Linked DNA regions of Neodiprion lecontei. The protein of the gene in region 2 interacts with the protein of the main gene of each other region in a biochemical or structural test. Links are inferred from orthologs where the notes say so. Each region holds a gene or a part of one and is shown on either strand. Other genes may lie near its edges.

Region 1 (4,600 bases), on a different chromosome or scaffold from region 2:
AAAAATTCGATGAGCAGAAAATAGTGTAACCTCGGCAAGGTATATTGTAATGATAACACTTGATATCGGTTTCTTATGCCTGTGGTAGCCATACTACCTGTGATGATTTTTATGCTATATGCATAAGTGGTTACACACACACACACGTTACGCGAGTACATCAAATGTTTAAGTATACAAAATAATGTACGCTGTTCTACAGATCTCAAATTCAAACGGGGATGTGTTTCCAAGTGGGATCGTTCGATTGAAACCTTTCGACCCCAGCTTTACACATCCATTACCAATAGGTATACGTGTAAACTCGGCATGCGCCGTTAATTGAGAAATAAACGTTCCAACGTTAAAATTACGTACAATAATTCGCATGCCTAACATCACATATTCCATCAACCATTTCCGACACACGATAGATAGTTACAATAATCTTAGATTGTCATTTTTACGCAAGGTATACTTCTCCGTCTAAAATCTCATTCCCATTAATCGCGTTAATGCGCAATGACAAAAATCAAATGCAATATTATATCTATATTTATATACCTATATTTTTTACCATAGGAATAGTTATCATGTACAAAATGAATATGAATATAAATTCGAGCGCTTTGTGTCTTAGCTGACAGAAATTTACTTCAGAGTATTGTGATTCGGTAAGCTTATAGCATTATGTCTACAACGCGCATGAAAATAAACTGCACGAACAAAGAGATATAGTGACGATTGACGCACGTTTTAGTTGACAGCAGAGAGTAGAATTTAATACCACCAACTACCTAAGGGTCTTCTTCAGCATCTTCAAACTGGCCTGCTTCAATATCCATGGCTTCGTCTGTATCTGCACCGTTCTGATTATATGCTTCATCTGGAAAATTACCATGCCAATTGAATGGTTACAGGGCCAGCATCTAGATAGCAAATTGTATTCAATCTAACCATTCAACAAAAACAGAGAGAAATCATACCCGATGCCAATATGTATGGCATAGCGTCTGTTTCAGCTTCCCAACATTTGAAAACATCGTCCTCAGCATCCTCATAGATATCCTCTTCAGCTGTGAAGTTTTTGTTCATTTCTATTCATTATAATTGTTTCTGTAACTTATAACTTGGAATTGAAATCTATAGGGTTCTGTAGCAGAGTTAGAAATAAATAAATTTGGTCAATTTGCGTGAAAAAAAAAGGTGCATTATACCTCCAAGGTAGAATACAATAGTAATTGAAGTAAAGTCAAAAGGATTGTCATGAATTTGAGGCATGACCATTTAGATACCTTGAGGATCAGGGTGGAGTGCTTGGCACTGGCTCATCGCTTGAAACATGGCATCCAAGCTATTTGAATTTTCTGGAACGAATCTCATTTCAGTCATTGGAGTTTCCGATTCATCGTCGTCGTCCTCTTCATCGTTGCCTTCAGATCGGGCATCTATAGGCAGCAATTCTTGCATATCTGTTGATATAGCATGACACAGACATACAGAGATATTTGTCCAAAATTTGAGTTAAGAAATACAAAAAAATCCTCAATCATCAACCGCAAGTATAGCACATGTATAAGGGAAAAAAGTATCCTCGTTTTTCATTTACCTGCAGGGTCTAATTTTGCATCTACCATGACATAAAGGTATTGGTGAGGATGTAGTTGTTGGTCCCTTGATATAGCATGCAGCGATATATTAGGATATTCCAATGAAAATCCTTGACCAGTCGTCCCACTAACCCATGATAGTAGGCTGAGAAAGTAAGATTACTTATAACACAGCCAATCCATGTTGCATATGGGTTCTAACCGTTGCTCTTGCGAGCCACTAGTTTGAAACATCAAATAAAGGGAGAGTTGTGTTCTTCACTACCGATACTCTTATTTTTATCGTGTCATCTACTTTAATTTGCAAAAAATTAATTCAAAGTTTGTACTGTAGAGATTCTACGCTGACTATACTAATTCTATAATCAGTATTACACCAAAATATAATATAATCTTAAAATTATTACACGAATAAAATTTAGTGTAGATCACTGCCAATCTAGGTCAACAGTACGATAAAAACGGCATATTACCTTTCTGTCACATACAGTGTACCCTTTCCAACTTCTCTGTCATTTATGTACAACGTAGTGTCAGGCTCTTCGTGTCTAACACCTTCTTGCGGCAGTAGAAAATTGATCAGCACGACCATTTTACAATCTGCAAAATAACACCACAAATTAAACCTATTCTACGTTATCATTATTGTAAATTAGAAGAAGTTAATTATTATAGGTTAGAGTTCAGGAGTCGAAGGGAAACCTACAACTTTGGGCGACTTGATTGATATTCGTAGCTGTATGACTGAACAGCAATTACGGAATCAAGAGCATTTGCTTTTCGTCGTGGGCAGCCGGGAAAATGGTTCTGAGTCAAAAACTCTTAAATCCACATTTTTCTTTTGAAAATATGTATCGCTCGAATGAATGCAGTACTTTGGTACCCTGTCGTTTCTCGGTCCAAGATTCAAACACGTCGCGCAACGAATGCAAGTCTGTCCGTGATAATAATGTAATAATTACCGAACTGATCGATCTTACCTCGTTTTACCTGCCCTTGACGTATGTACGGTACTTTCCTCCGCAAGTATCTCTTGCCGTTAATCGAGAAGAATAAGAATCACGGAAAGTATCGCAAGCGCTCGAAGCGCGGATCGTTCACTGCAGTTTTTCGGCCTGGTACATACACCCGGTGCACCCCTCGAGGGAGAAGATTTGACTCCGTCCCGCCTTTCTCTCTACTTTTTACCCTCCCGCAAAAACGCAATAGAGATTTTGACACTGCGTCGCCGGGTTTTCTCAACCCTCCAGCTACGCTGCATACCCGTGGAGCTTATGTATATATCTCGGTCTGCGTCGTGATTGGCTGAGCCCGCTCACTCAACCAATCACGGCACAAAACGAGAACTCGACGTGCTCAGCGGAGTAGGTGCTGCACCCTGGTACCCAGACCTCGTATTCATTTTGTAAACACAACTTGAAACTCCTGCACACGTATGTAACATGATGCATACATTATACACACACTGTCGCAACCTCGTGTGAATTGACAAGTCGCCGCTAAGTATTCTGTCTGCTCTTGCAAAAGCTACCTGACCGAAATGACAATGTCTTTGCCAAACCTTTTGTCGAGGTTCTTAGTAAAGAGATTATTGTTTTCGTCAAGCTATTATCGTCCAAAAATGTTTTCCCAGCTTGACATGCACACAACTGAGCGTAAGTCGCAGATCACGATTTCACGACCATTCTAACCTCTCAACGGAACTTCATAATGTGTCTATACCATTTTCTCCTTTAAAGGACTAGGTCACGGAGAATACGAATATCAGGATCCTACATCGGAGGACCAAGTGTAGGTTATTACATTCAAGTTGCCCGATTTACAGTCAACTTCTTAAATTTTCGATCAAGTCCTGTTCTTACGGTTTTGAAAAGCCGGATAGAAATTCTGCCTCTCTTATTTCGCAGCGTCAACGTGGTGTACATTACTAAACATGGAGAAAGGATACCAGTCAGAGGAAAAGTTGGTGACAATGTATTGTACTTGGCGCACAGGCACGGAATTGAAATGGAAGGTGCATGTGAAGCTTCCTTGGCCTGTACGACTTGTCATGTCTACGTAAATTCTGATCATCGGGAAAAATTACCCACAGCAGAAGACAAGGAAGAAGATTTATTAGACCTGGCTCCATTTCTGAAAGAAAATTCCAGATTGGGTAGGCTTTGGCAGTAAACGAAATTAAGATATCCAGAGTGGACAGAAAAATTCCTTTACAGTAACACTCTTCAAATTGAGGTACTTTATTTAAAGAGAATCTTGCGATCAAAATGAAATTCGCGGAAGTCATGCCGGATTGCCCTGGTTACTTTTAATAACAGTTGGCTTCCTTCACTCCCTTCTTAAACATGAATATTGGAAATTGATATTGGATTACATCCGATTTTCACCACTGTACAAAGTTTCAGTTAAAAAGAGTTACGTTTGCTGAGATAAAAAAGAAATGTTCCTAATATAATAATTAACTTCCATGTTATATATACCCCATTTCTTGGATTAATTTTTGATTCTAGGATATTTCTAGGATTTGTTTGTAGCCACTGTCAGACTCTTCCAATAGATGAGCTAAATAGATACTTTACTACTTTTTCATTCTTTCAGGATGTCAAATAATTCTGACTAAAGAATTAAATGGATTAGAACTTGAACTTCCAAAAGCTACAAGAAATTTTTATGTAGATGGTCACACTCCAACACCCCATTAAAAAAAAGGGAAGAATTGAATCTCCTACATGTTCAGAATCCCGCTTGTAGCCACATCATAATGTATTGTATATATAATATATTGTACATATAATGTATAATAAAAACCTTACCTTTTTTGATAATTGATGCAATCATTCTCATACTGACGACGATTTAGTGTTTCTACAGAGCACAGTAAACTTTACAGATGCACAAAGCATCACATTGACGGAAAAAAAAGAAACATACTTTTACAAAGTCACATCATAGTTTCACAGTTCTACTTTTTGTCCTTTTGACATTGCAAGTTTTACGTTTTGATTGCTCAC
Region 2 (6,188 bases):
AAAAATTCCTTCCAATCAACATTAGGCATATAAAAATATTTATATCATCTAGAACTGCTCCCATCTGTTTTGAAAAAGTTGGGTGAAATTTAATACGATTAATGATTTTCAATATCGCCGTACGTGTGACAAATTTTTGTACGGACATTTTTGCTTCAATAGAATCCGAGATCTACGATTTACGCGGCACTTTGCGTGTGGTATCGGTACATGACTGTTCTGATCACGTGAGGTCAATGGTTTATCAGTTCGTTACAACATTTCTCCAGCGTGATTACAGCAAACATGTTATGTATCAAAATTCTACGTAGTACCACCTACATAAGTATATGCAGGATCACTATTAATAAATTGCAAGGGGCGGTAGCTCGTCTATCCATCACATTAATACGACAAGCTACGAACCACAAATACATGTTTCTAATCGCATTAAAATGCATTCTTGCATTTCCATAATGTGCAGTTACTGGCTCATCGAATAAAAGAGATATTCTCTAAGTTGATTACAAATACTGCACCAAACAATCAGTTCAACAAATGAAAAAATATCTTTTTTCGAACAACATTAAAAATCATTTTTTACAAAATAACGAAAAGTGGTTCTTTGTTTATTTAATTTTCAAGTTTCAACCTTTCATATCACATAGTTCATTGTAATTCAAAGCCCAATTGTATAGGACCGGCCATTTGGATTATGGATGGAACATGGCGCAGGTTTGCTGACACACCACTCGTACCACACATTTTTTAATGTACACCTTCGCCAAAAGTGTGCCTCAACCACATCACCAGCATTGAGTAGAACGGCTTCCTGGAAAATTTATATGGTATTTTATTAAGAAATCTTGATCTGTTTCCACAACTTACAAGGAAAAAAAATAATACAACAATGTGACGATCTAAAGCTCTTATCTTATTGTTAGTAACCATAGTTGTATCAACATTCTTTTAGTTGGATTGTACACCAGATATATCCTTACGAAATATAAGATTCATGTGAATTATTACCTTGATAGGAAAGAAAATTGGGAACCAGCTAACCATGCCTGGACTGTGTGTGTTCGGTTCTATACTAATAGTCGCATCTTTGTACAAGATGGCTTCAAAGTAGCCGGAAAAACCGTGCAATACCGAATTTTGTTCTGCTACAAACTTTTTCACTTCATACCTGTTGTTATCAATAAATGGTTCTGAAGATAAAAAGAATAGAATGAAAATTTTTGTTACATTGTAATAGGAAAAACAGAAATTTTTCGCAGCTTTTAGTTACCATAAACGTTGATCAACTCTTACCTTTATTAGGATGAACGAATGTGAAGAGAGGCTGTGGTTGTGCAATATCATACTTGTTTTGAAGATGAACAACGTAAGGAGTTTCAAAGTGAGCCAGGGGATGCTTGTCTTTTTCCTTACATTGCCTGACTTCATTATACAACTTTGACGATTGCACTGGACTAATGTATGACGTGTATGAACAAGGTATACTTATTCCATCATCTATCAATCAGAAATATTTAGAAGACATATTAGTCTACAAATAAATCCATGGGAACACTATATGAATGAATGTAAGTATTGATGCAAGGTATACCACTTAGGAACTTTTGAACCCCATCTAAGCACTCAGGTGAAAGCTCGTTATCGCCAAAAGATCCTAGGAGCTCAGAAACGAGAATATCTGCTTTTTCAGGAGCAACCCACTCTCTCATGTCAGATGATACAACAGTGACCTTGTCTCCCCATATTTCTTTTTCTAAAGCCTGTAACCTGTGATCAATAATCTGGTAAGTACTAGCAAGTTGAGAGTTAAGTACAGATTTAGTTGATCAATTTGGTTATCAAAACAAATTATGCATACGTTAGAATGGCATTAGGGTTTTTCTCAACAGCATAAACCTTGACTTTTCTTTGTGCTTTTTCAGCAGCATTCAAAGAAGCCCGTACCAAGGGTCCTCTACCTGCGCCGACCACCATGATAACTCTGCACAATGTAAAACGTTACAAGATGTATTAATAACTTTGGTTAGTGAGTAGGCAATGAAAAGATTGTTCAATTGGGGGAAAACTGGTTGACTAATCATAAAATTCATCAGCAGCCTCTACCCATTCACAGTTCAAAACAAGTTCTTATTCTAGTGTAAGGTTTAACACGTTCCTTACAAAGTTTTGGTATCCTTTTCAGCTTCTGGAATCTTGTCGAGAATTCCTTGGTAAATAGCGGTCTGATATTGATTGTATTTGAAGGGATCTTTTTCAAATATTTCATATGTCTGAGATTCAAGATTATCCATCAACGGTTGCAACGGGCATTGCAAATAATCTTCATAGCCCCTGGCAAATCTTTCAACTGGCCCATTACTTTGATAAGTCTGGGAAAATGAAATAATCTTAGACATTTTAACCACAGATAGCAAAAATAAGTGTACAATGCACTGCACAAGAGTGAAATGAATAATTTGGATACACCGTACCTTTGCAAGATGATCAAGATAATTATGATAAAAAGTAATATCCTGATGTCTGTTTGATCCGGATAGAATCATTTGGACCCTCAGTGGAGAAAACTTCTTGAGCAACATTTGATGTGCCTTACTTAATACTGGATATCCTTTTTTATTGGTAATGAACAAGGTTGTAGGTAGAATTAGGCACTTCAGTGGTTCACCCAACCATCTATTTATCTGAAGTTAGATTAGGTAATACAGAGACCAGGTAAAACAGAAAAAATCACGTATGAGGGGAATATCAATGTTACAAGTCACCTCTTCTGCACTAGGAATGTCGTGACTAACAATCAAGGCAACACCAAGCTTCCCATGGAAGTCACAAACTAATCTCAGGGAATTCCACCACTCCCATGTGCTTTCAACTGCATCATCTCCTTTGTCTGATCTGTACGTGTTGGCTTGCTTAGCAGGGTTTTCCATTGGAACTTGAACCCACACCTACGAATGCCAAGGTTATTAAACATAATGATGAAAAATAAAGTTCAATCAAACTGATCTGTAAGGGTATTTGTTTTAGTTTTTCACAATTAGATTTAATTGACTACATTCTATGATTTTAAATTGGCGGTTAGATCAAAATATTGATACACTTGCACAGAACTAAACATCAATGTGTAAACATACCTGGAAGGCACAAGGAGTTGTAGACTTATTGTAAATAATTCGAGCAAAATTAATATTCTGATTCATATTTCTTGTTAGCTTGAATGTAATCGCTGGAAGACCTAGGTGTGTAGCCAATGCCAATTCCTGGTTTAAAGTCTCTTCGTTATTCTTTCGGGAGATTGGATTAGTGCAATCTACATCAATGTAAGGCGACAATTTCCCAATCACCAAGTTATTCCAATCTGCGAATTTAAATTCACTCAGTGGTATATGCTAAAAATTCTAGTAAGCAAATTTGAAAGTCAGTGCAAATGATTTTCTTCTCAGCTTACCGGAGCTGCATAGGATCATGTCAGACCTCGTGAATGGCCCAGGACGTTTTTTCAATTCAGGATCAACAAATTCACGTTTAAATTTTGGATGCACCAAGGGTATGCAGATAAAATCATACCTGCAAATGATGTCCATGAATCAGAGATTTTTTCAAGTAGAACGTCATGTTCAAATGGCAATAATAAATACTAACCTTGATGATGTCGCAGTCATCAAACAATTACTTAAATCTGGGACTGAACAGAAGTCCAGCCCACAGGAAACTTGTTTCTCAGCAGCCATTGTCACGATTTTAAGAACTCAACCGTATCCCGTGAATCAGAGAAACTTGTATATGCTGCAAAATTGCATTTCATTTTTGAATTGTAATCGATCTTATTAACTACATCTTGTAATCAGAATAAATGTAAAAAGTATAAGTAGGCTGTTGATTTATTGTGAGGATAATTTTATAATGCGTATCACACTGAATTAGAATTGAATTGATAAAGCCAGCAGTGAAATATCTATATACGTGTATCCTAATGTGTTGTTAGATACTTTCATTTACTGATGATTATTTGTTCATCAATAAGCGTTGTAAACAATAGAATAACAGCACAATGTGGGTTATTTCAGGTGCGCAACGAAGTTGCCACATTGTTATCGAGGTTAGGATATGCAGATTCGTTTACGTCTGATAAAATAGCAACAAGTTATCTGAATCCTATTTAAAAGTCTATATTAATGATTCATCTATCCTCTGCTATAGCCGTACCTGAGGTTCAAAGACTGCGATTCAAGAGCCGGTATTAACAAAATCTTGCGATACCAAATCACGCTTTGACATTCTCACCGGCCAGTAAGACTGTCATAGACTTGTAAAGAACATAGATAGACTGCGTGGTCCGCGCACCGAGCTGAAGCCCTAATTGGAAAGAGAAAGCAACGGCGGGAGTCCGACCTCTCACTCTAATTGGTCAATTGGCGGTATAAAGACGGATACCTCTGAGTAGATTTTTGTGACCAGTTTTCGGCGGGCAAGTGGGCCCGGGTGAGCCTGGGAGCGTAGGAGGGTTTTGCTCTATCGATTCTACCTAAGGGACTCGAACCGACGTTCGTAACAGGCAAAGTAGTGTCGGTATGGAAGCTTATATTTTAGTCGGTACAAAGTGAATACGTAAGACTACTTGTCGACTGCGACTTAGAAATCTTGATCAGCTCGATCATTCCCGCGAGAAGACGCGTAACCGCGTCCACCGCCGACCACCCCCAACTACCACCGAGCACTACCAACCATCGTCAACCACCTTCGACCACCTCGTCCCCCTCCTCCTCCGCCGCCTCGTCGTCCTCGTCCTCCTCGGCCATCTCCGATCACCTCCTACCACCTCCAACCACCTGCTACCAGCGCCGACTACCTCCTACGGCCTCCTACCAATTTCGAACACCACCAACCACCTCCGACCTTCGTCCTCCTCGACCCCCTGCTCGGCCATGTATTCTATAACATTAATATTCATAATTATTCCAACAACTTTTCATTTGCTCTCTCGATCTTGAATTGTCGTAGGCATAGAATCGAAACGCTGTTTCAGCTAGTCGCAAGTGAGGTATCTACATTGGGTAGGGAAATAGAATTGGTTTTAGAAAAGTGTTCGTACGGAAAAAAATTCAAAGTAACTGTAATACATCACGGATGCGCTAATTTTGATCGAGTCAAATGGATGCTGCTTATGTGAGACAGTATTTAACACAGTGTCCTGATTTAAAGGTTTGAAAAGATGGTTGTCGGCGATTTTTTTTTTTTTTGATAATGAGAGAAAGAACGAAGCTTCTTAAAATGTCGAGGGTATTTGAACACATATTTGAAAGGTACGAGCAAAAATTTTTATCATCTAACTGTCGCAGAACAGCAGCATTATTAGCTGACCCGTTAACTGAAGAATACATCTTTAGTCAACGGTTAACCATCAAAGGGCCTAGCCCCTTGAGTCTGGAATTGGCAGGGAAGATAGTGCGTCTTTCTTGTCTGAAATGTAAAAACTAGAATCATTATACATCATATCATATCATCATACATCATACATCCTACATCATACAAGATACATAGTATTAAAGTTCGAAACTAAAGTTTGGATATCGTATCTTCGTATGTTCAGAAAGTGACGTAACCCAAATTTTTTTTTCTCTTGCTAACCGAAAATCAGCTAACTGAATTTCTCAGTCTGGAAATAACCGCGCAGTAGAGCGGACGTATGAGAATCGCGCTCTGCAGATTTCGAGTACCGGATTCTCTACCTCCTGGATCTTGCGCTCCAGGTCCGCTACCTCGTGAAACTCGACTTCCAGGACAAGTGCTCCGTAGTTCTAGCTGTCTAGGTCCTTGACTTGGTGACTTTTGACCTTCAAGACTAATTTTCCGTAGTTCTGGCGATCCAGGTCCTCCACCTGGTGGATTTTGACATCCAGGAACAGTGCTCCATGGTTCCTGCGCTCCAGGTCCACTACCTGGTGAAACTCGATTGTAGGGACAAGCGCTCCGTGGTTCCTGCGCTCCACGTCCGCTACCTGGTGCAACTCTAGTTCCAGGACAAGCGCTCCGTAGTTTCTACGCTTCAGATCCGCTACCTGGTGAAACTCGACGTCCAGGACAAGCGCTCCATAGTTTCTGCGCTCCAGGTCCGCTACCTGGTGAAACTGGACTTCCAGGACAAGCGCTCCATGGTTCCTGCGCTCCAGGTCCACTACCTGGTGAAACTC
Region 3 (5,637 bases), about 23 Mb from region 2:
TGTTCTGTGGCGTTTGTTCTGCAATGTTCAGTCAGCAGATGAAAACTTGCTTCGATATCACTATTACACAATTCTATTTGATATCCACTGAGTGTCCAAATTTGTTCCATTCATCATTACATGTGCTGTGAGAAATAAATTTTTCTCTCCATCTTTGTTCATATAATAGAATAATATTATAACTTTTGAAATGGTAAACTATTTCAAGTAGTTGAAACCAACACACACACATGTGTGCGTGTGTGTACATATATATATATATATATATATATATATATATATGTGTGTGTGTGTGTATGTATACAGCATGTATAAATACTACTACTACTTGAACTAGATTACTACTTCAACTACTTAAAATAGATTATTTCCAGGAAAATTGCATTTGAACAAACTTAGTAGTCATTCTATAAATATCTCGAGTTATTCATTCAATATCATCAAATTTACTGCCTGGCCTATGTTGTACATATTCACATCTTAGTGTATGAATTTTCAAATGTGTACCTTTGTGTTCAAAATATTATGACGGTTTTTTTTTCCAAGATGTATTTATCTAATTATCAACGTACCGGTTTGCGAGACATACAGGTATATTCTGGTTATTGAACAGTCTGATGTGCTGAGAAAATTATATTATGTTCCCATGTATCCAATATTGAACTTGAGTATCTGATTATTACAACAGACCCTATGATTGTAAAAAAGGAATCGCGTTTTCTCTATTTTCTGTTGTTTCTAGTTATAACTATAGTTTTTTAATAACATGAAGGATCTTGCCGTATTTTCTACTTTCACAGAATTACAATTATCTTCCAGTTTTCATTCATTTAATAGGTGGGTATTATAGTAATAATCAATACTTGGGAAAGTTCTGGACACCATTATTTCAAACTATGTTAGCTGTATGACTATATCTATGTGCTCAGTATGTGACAGCACTAAAATGTAAATATTAGCGAAAAATTTTAATATTAAACAAAAATTTATTATAAGTATTTAAAAAAAAGTAACATAGTACATTTTTTTGAAATGGGATGCTTCAAAAGTATTGTTGTTTTATAAATTACTCAATAAAGACTGGTTTTTTCAGTTCATCGTTTACCTTCGGTTCCGTGTATGTAGTTGTTAAGTCCGAAAGGCATTACATAAATAAGGTTAAAATGCTCGTTGTAACCTAAATCATTTCACATAATGTATTCATACAACGCGAGATTCTGAGCCAATCCTAAATTACTAGAATCAAACATTGTACAAGGATCTATTTAGTGTCTATTTCTTTCTCACCATCTTTTCTTTTCTTTTTTTTATGTGCTTCTTGGTTTTCTTCTTACGATTTTCTGCTTGTTGTTCTTTGATAGCTTTTTTTCGTGCCTGGAACATTGGTGAACATGATTAAATTAGAAATCATCTAGGTAGTTTCGTTATTTTTTATTTATAACCTGAAGCACGAGTATCATGTAACGGTGAGAATGTGAAAAAATGTATCCAGATATTGTAAAGATGAGCTGTACGTGCGTAAGGTGCAACGTCGATTTTCAATTTTCTCATATATTTCATGACTGGTCATATACGATATTCCGATACACTATTATTTGTGCATTAGCAATGGACAAATTAATCATAGATGAAGAAATCGCCTACGAATCAAAAGCATTCACCTTCTTGCTGTCAGGACTTTCGTCTCGTGGTCGAGCTGAATTGACAAATTTCGATTCATCGTTATTTTGTGACTCTGAATCAGATTCAGATACATCCTCTCCGCTTTCTTCGGTATGGCTGTCGTCGTGACTTTTGGTTGAAATAATTTTTGAGGTGACAGTTGTTGCTTTGGGTAAATCAATGCTCAGTCCATACACGGTTTTCCTTAACAAATTTTGCTCTCCGGTATTAGCCTCAGATATATCTTTGTCAATGTTAATAACCTGCAAGATTGAGAGCAACAGTATTGGCTTAAATATTCTGGTCATTGGATATATTAGGAATATTTCAATCACTAATGGTTATTTATACCTCATTGAGCCTCTGAGGTATATATGTTTGTTTAAACACTTGTTCTTCCATTTGACTGTTGGGATCCATTTCCTCTGATTCTCTTAGCATAACTTGTTCTGCTAACACATCCAAGTACTCATCCATCGTATCTTCCACTATATTAGGATCTGTGATGAAGTCAAATAATTCCTTCATCGTCATAACTGCAACTCCATGTTTCTTGAAGAATTCTGAAGAATCAGTTTGCATATACAATCATTTGAGAAAACGAGAAAATTTACTCGCACATTCAAAATATTAATTTTACTTATGAAGGTCAAAGACACTGAAATGCTGAAGATGATTACCTGTGATGTTAGTGCAGTCTTTTCGGAGAAATTCATACGCATGAGGATGATCATGTTCAACTGATTGAGATACATCTATGACAACAATCTCTCCTTTGTGATAGAGTAAATTAAATTCGCTTAAATCAGCATGAACCAATTTACATTTATTGTATATTCTCCACATCATCACAACACATTCTCTGTAAAGCGAGCGGGCCTTTGAAGAATTTATTTCAACGTCTTTCAACTTTGGTGCTGGCCATCCATCGTTACCTATGAAGTCCATCAGGAGAACATGGCTGCGCAACAAAATTGGTTTCGGAGCACATACTCCTGCCTGACTGAGCCTCAATAAATTCCGCATTTCTTTCTCTGCCCAAGTGCGAACCATTTTACGTGGATTGTGACGACAGTAACCGTGACGGAAACGAAATCCACCGCTTACATACTTGTCTCTATCCTTAAACACTAGTATTGATGTTTTGTAGATTTTTATCGCGAATTCAATACCAGTTTTAGAGGTGGCATGATAAACATTAGCTTCTTTTCCCGTTGAAATACAACCATTGATTTCAGCGATTATACCTCTGTTGAGTAGTTTGAATAAAATCATACGTGTGCGAGGATCCATAACTTGCTCAGCCGTTGCTCTGTCATGTTTGTCTTTTGTTCTTATCCGTTCATTTTCAGTGCGTTTGTTACTTTCGATAAGTAAATTAGCCGCATGATTGGGCAAACTGGGTCCCTCATATTTTTCAACATTTATTTTATTGGAGTAACGTCGAAATAATTTATCAGTAGGCTGGTAGTTGGAAACTTTATTGCTTGCCATCTGACTGTTGGCCGTTCCATTTGAACGACTATTGTTCTTCAACTGGTAATTGCCTCTAGCATCTACATCCCAATCGTATGAATCGTCTTCAGAGTCATATTCTGTGTTGTCTTCGATGTCTATTTGCAATTGTCCTACTGTGACGGTCAATTCGTGAATGATCATTGGTTTTCCACATTTCGTTTTTTCTCTGGGAAGGAATGAAAAATGTTATTTCATACGCGCTTAAAGATAGCCAGGTTTGGTTAGACTCAGTTTCGTGACACAATATCGCGCAATGCCTGAAATGTATGTAGTATGAAACCTATGAATTGTATGTACATACATCGTTTCTTCATCGGCATCGCTAAATTGGCCTTCGTCCAGTGATGCCATTGTCGAATTTGGAATAGGTGCTCAGGTGAATATTTCAGTCAAGAATGCTTGCCACGTGACACACGTTGTTGCCCACATTAGCCAGATTCTGATACTGAAAAATTACACCTATTTTAGCAAGCTATGTTTGTCACACCACTCTTATCAAATCGATGAATGTCTGTGTACGGAATAGAACGCGTCACTGGTCGCGTTATTCGTTATTACTTTCTTCGAAACTTGTCAACATACCTGTCAAGATATATTATATCATATTGCACTTTGGAGAGTGATCAGGTAGTGTGTAACAGTCACATGAAACAGCAGGCTCTCAAGCTGAGTATTTTTCCGCACGCATGCGCGGAGATTCTGGTGTATCTATCAGTCGTAGGCTGGATTTGATACGGGCGTCAAAAATGGGTACCGACGCAACGGCAAAATGCCGCGCGTCGAAACCCACGTGGCTAGGTCAGTGGATCTCAATTACATTTTTGCTCAAAGAATTCAAAAATCTATGTTATCAATTGGAAGCGTGAAAAAATTGGAAAAAATGGAGAAAATGAAGAAGCGAGATGAAATAGCTGATGGCGTATTCGAACTGAGCGCAACCAATTCTTTTCGCAAAATTACGTTCATATAATGCATCACAGAATACATTTAAGTGTTTTTCAAAATCGGCCAAATTTCGGCTCAAACAATCCAAAGGGCTTAGCCTTCCTTTGTTTGCGATTTTCAGAGCTCGGAAAACTTTCGTCCCAAAATCGTTTTTGCAAGACTCTTTCCACTAATTGGACCCTCAGGAATGACTTAATATATCTTCGGTTAACACATTTCATTCGGCTGGAAGTCGTCAGAAAATTTCGGCAATTTTTCGAACGTCTGACAGCGTTGTCCGCAACTCGTATGGCATTTCCGACCGATCAGGAATTGCTTCCCAGCGCAGTGCGGCGTCAGTCGTTTCCGACGAGGCGTAGAGAAAGGTTGCAGGTTGCATTTGAAAGTAGAAAGAATCAGCTTCGTTACCGTTCTTTGCAAAATTTACTACGACCTTTTTAGCACTCACTCGGGGACATTAAACATGTTTTTTCGTGATTTTCATACTTTCACAAAGTTGCACGTAACTTTTTCGGAAATAGCAATTTGAATTTTTTAACTGAAAAAGTCAGGAAAAAGTGAAGGACTTATATTTAAGAAATCGATCGATCATGCCTTTTGCTTAGCAATTGCTTAACGGTATGTGAAAAGTACAGCACTCTCGATGTGTTAATTAAACCTTCAGCTTCCCAATCGATTTTCTCACCAACAATGTTTTCAAATTTAAATTGTCTTGTCTTGAAAAATTTGTCTTGATACTGTGTGGTTCTGATTGTGAGAGAAAGCGCAGTATTCGCAAGCCGGCGGTCAATTCACGGGGATAAAAATCGCGGAGTGTACAGTGATAGTGAAGAATCTTGTCGTAAGTATTTATAAAACATATCTGAGGTGTACAAAAGTATTTTTTAGTGATTGTATTGTCTTTTTTGAAGGCGACGAAATAATTTTTTGTTACAAGCATCCCGAAAAATATTGAATCTTCACTTAAACAAAATAAAATCATTTGAATGTTATTTTAAATTTAAAGCTACTGGCCCGAACAGATCCAAAATCTAATAAGTTCCAAGTTAAGAAGAAGCGCATCGATTTTATCGGATATGAAATCAATTGGTTGCACTTACGCTTATCCCGCCGTTAATCTGATAATTACTGGATGAGATTCTGGAGATCTCAAGTCGTAGCAACCTTGAGAAAACTGAAATTTTCATTTTCGGAATGTTACAAAACGGCAAGTTAAAAGACGATCACGGCTTTTATTTAAATATCATCCTCATATAGAAGCTGTTGAAACGATTTCATGCGATTCTCGCTACGAAAGCTCATCGACCTTTTCCAACATGATCGTTGCAATTCCGACAAATAGATTCCTAAGGACTCCATGGATACAAATTACCATCGAGTAAAATTTACAAACGTACAAGTAAGCATCACTTTATTTACTTATAGCGTGCATAGTCGAAATATTGTGAAAACAAAACTTACATAAAATTACGATCAAAGACAAACAAGTTTCCTAACATAACTTAAAGACCT

The links.
Region 1: the proteins of protein arginine N-methyltransferase 5 (region 2) and methylosome subunit pICln form a complex in vitro, tested with the Homo sapiens proteins (5 studies listed by BioGRID and IntAct, with this or other methods). The link is inferred for Neodiprion lecontei from reciprocal best matches to the Homo sapiens genes PRMT5 and CLNS1A.
Region 3: the proteins of protein arginine N-methyltransferase 5 (region 2) and serine/threonine-protein kinase RIO1 are reported together in a solved structure, tested with the Homo sapiens proteins (2 studies listed by BioGRID, with this or other methods). The link is inferred for Neodiprion lecontei from reciprocal best matches to the Homo sapiens genes PRMT5 and RIOK1.

Annotation. Positions count from the first base shown.
Region 1 is NC_060264.1:26,458,910-26,463,509, forward strand, and holds methylosome subunit pICln, read right to left. Parts: upstream 2,823-4,600; 5' UTR 2,570-2,822; intron 2,190-2,569; 5' UTR 2,182-2,189; coding exon 2,063-2,181; intron 1,735-2,062; coding exon 1,589-1,734; intron 1,452-1,588; coding exon 1,275-1,451; intron 1,077-1,274; coding exon 966-1,076; intron 866-965; coding exon 777-865; 3' UTR 524-776; downstream 1-523. Other genes in the region: regulator of nonsense transcripts 2, read left to right, coding at 1-13; adrenodoxin-like protein 1, mitochondrial, read left to right, coding at 3,130-3,244, 3,329-3,380, 3,497-3,744, 4,188-4,291. UniProt on the Homo sapiens protein: Involved in both the assembly of spliceosomal snRNPs and the methylation of Sm proteins.
Region 2 is NC_060261.1:7,111,609-7,117,796, reverse strand, and holds protein arginine N-methyltransferase 5, read right to left. Parts: upstream 4,547-6,188; 5' UTR 4,204-4,546; intron 3,784-4,203; 5' UTR 3,729-3,783; coding exon 3,640-3,728; intron 3,565-3,639; coding exon 3,446-3,564; intron 3,356-3,445; coding exon 3,132-3,355; intron 2,946-3,131; coding exon 2,763-2,945; intron 2,682-2,762; coding exon 2,472-2,681; intron 2,370-2,471; coding exon 2,161-2,369; intron 1,982-2,160; coding exon 1,859-1,981; intron 1,768-1,858; coding exon 1,592-1,767; intron 1,498-1,591; coding exon 1,294-1,497; intron 1,191-1,293; coding exon 1,009-1,190; intron 812-1,008; coding exon 659-811; 3' UTR 598-658; downstream 1-597. UniProt on the Homo sapiens protein: Arginine methyltransferase that can both catalyze the formation of omega-N monomethylarginine (MMA) and symmetrical dimethylarginine (sDMA), with a preference for the formation of MMA.
Region 3 is NC_060261.1:30,581,692-30,587,328, reverse strand, and holds serine/threonine-protein kinase RIO1, read right to left. Parts: upstream 3,920-5,637; 5' UTR 3,763-3,919; exon of another isoform or gene 3,626-3,762; 5' UTR 3,532-3,625; coding exon 3,482-3,531; intron 3,347-3,481; coding exon 2,343-3,346; intron 2,226-2,342; coding exon 2,014-2,225; intron 1,926-2,013; coding exon 1,662-1,925; intron 1,375-1,661; coding exon 1,273-1,374; 3' UTR 548-1,272; downstream 1-547. UniProt on the Homo sapiens protein: Involved in the final steps of cytoplasmic maturation of the 40S ribosomal subunit. Involved in processing of 18S-E pre-rRNA to the mature 18S rRNA. Required for the recycling of NOB1 and PNO1 from the late 40S precursor.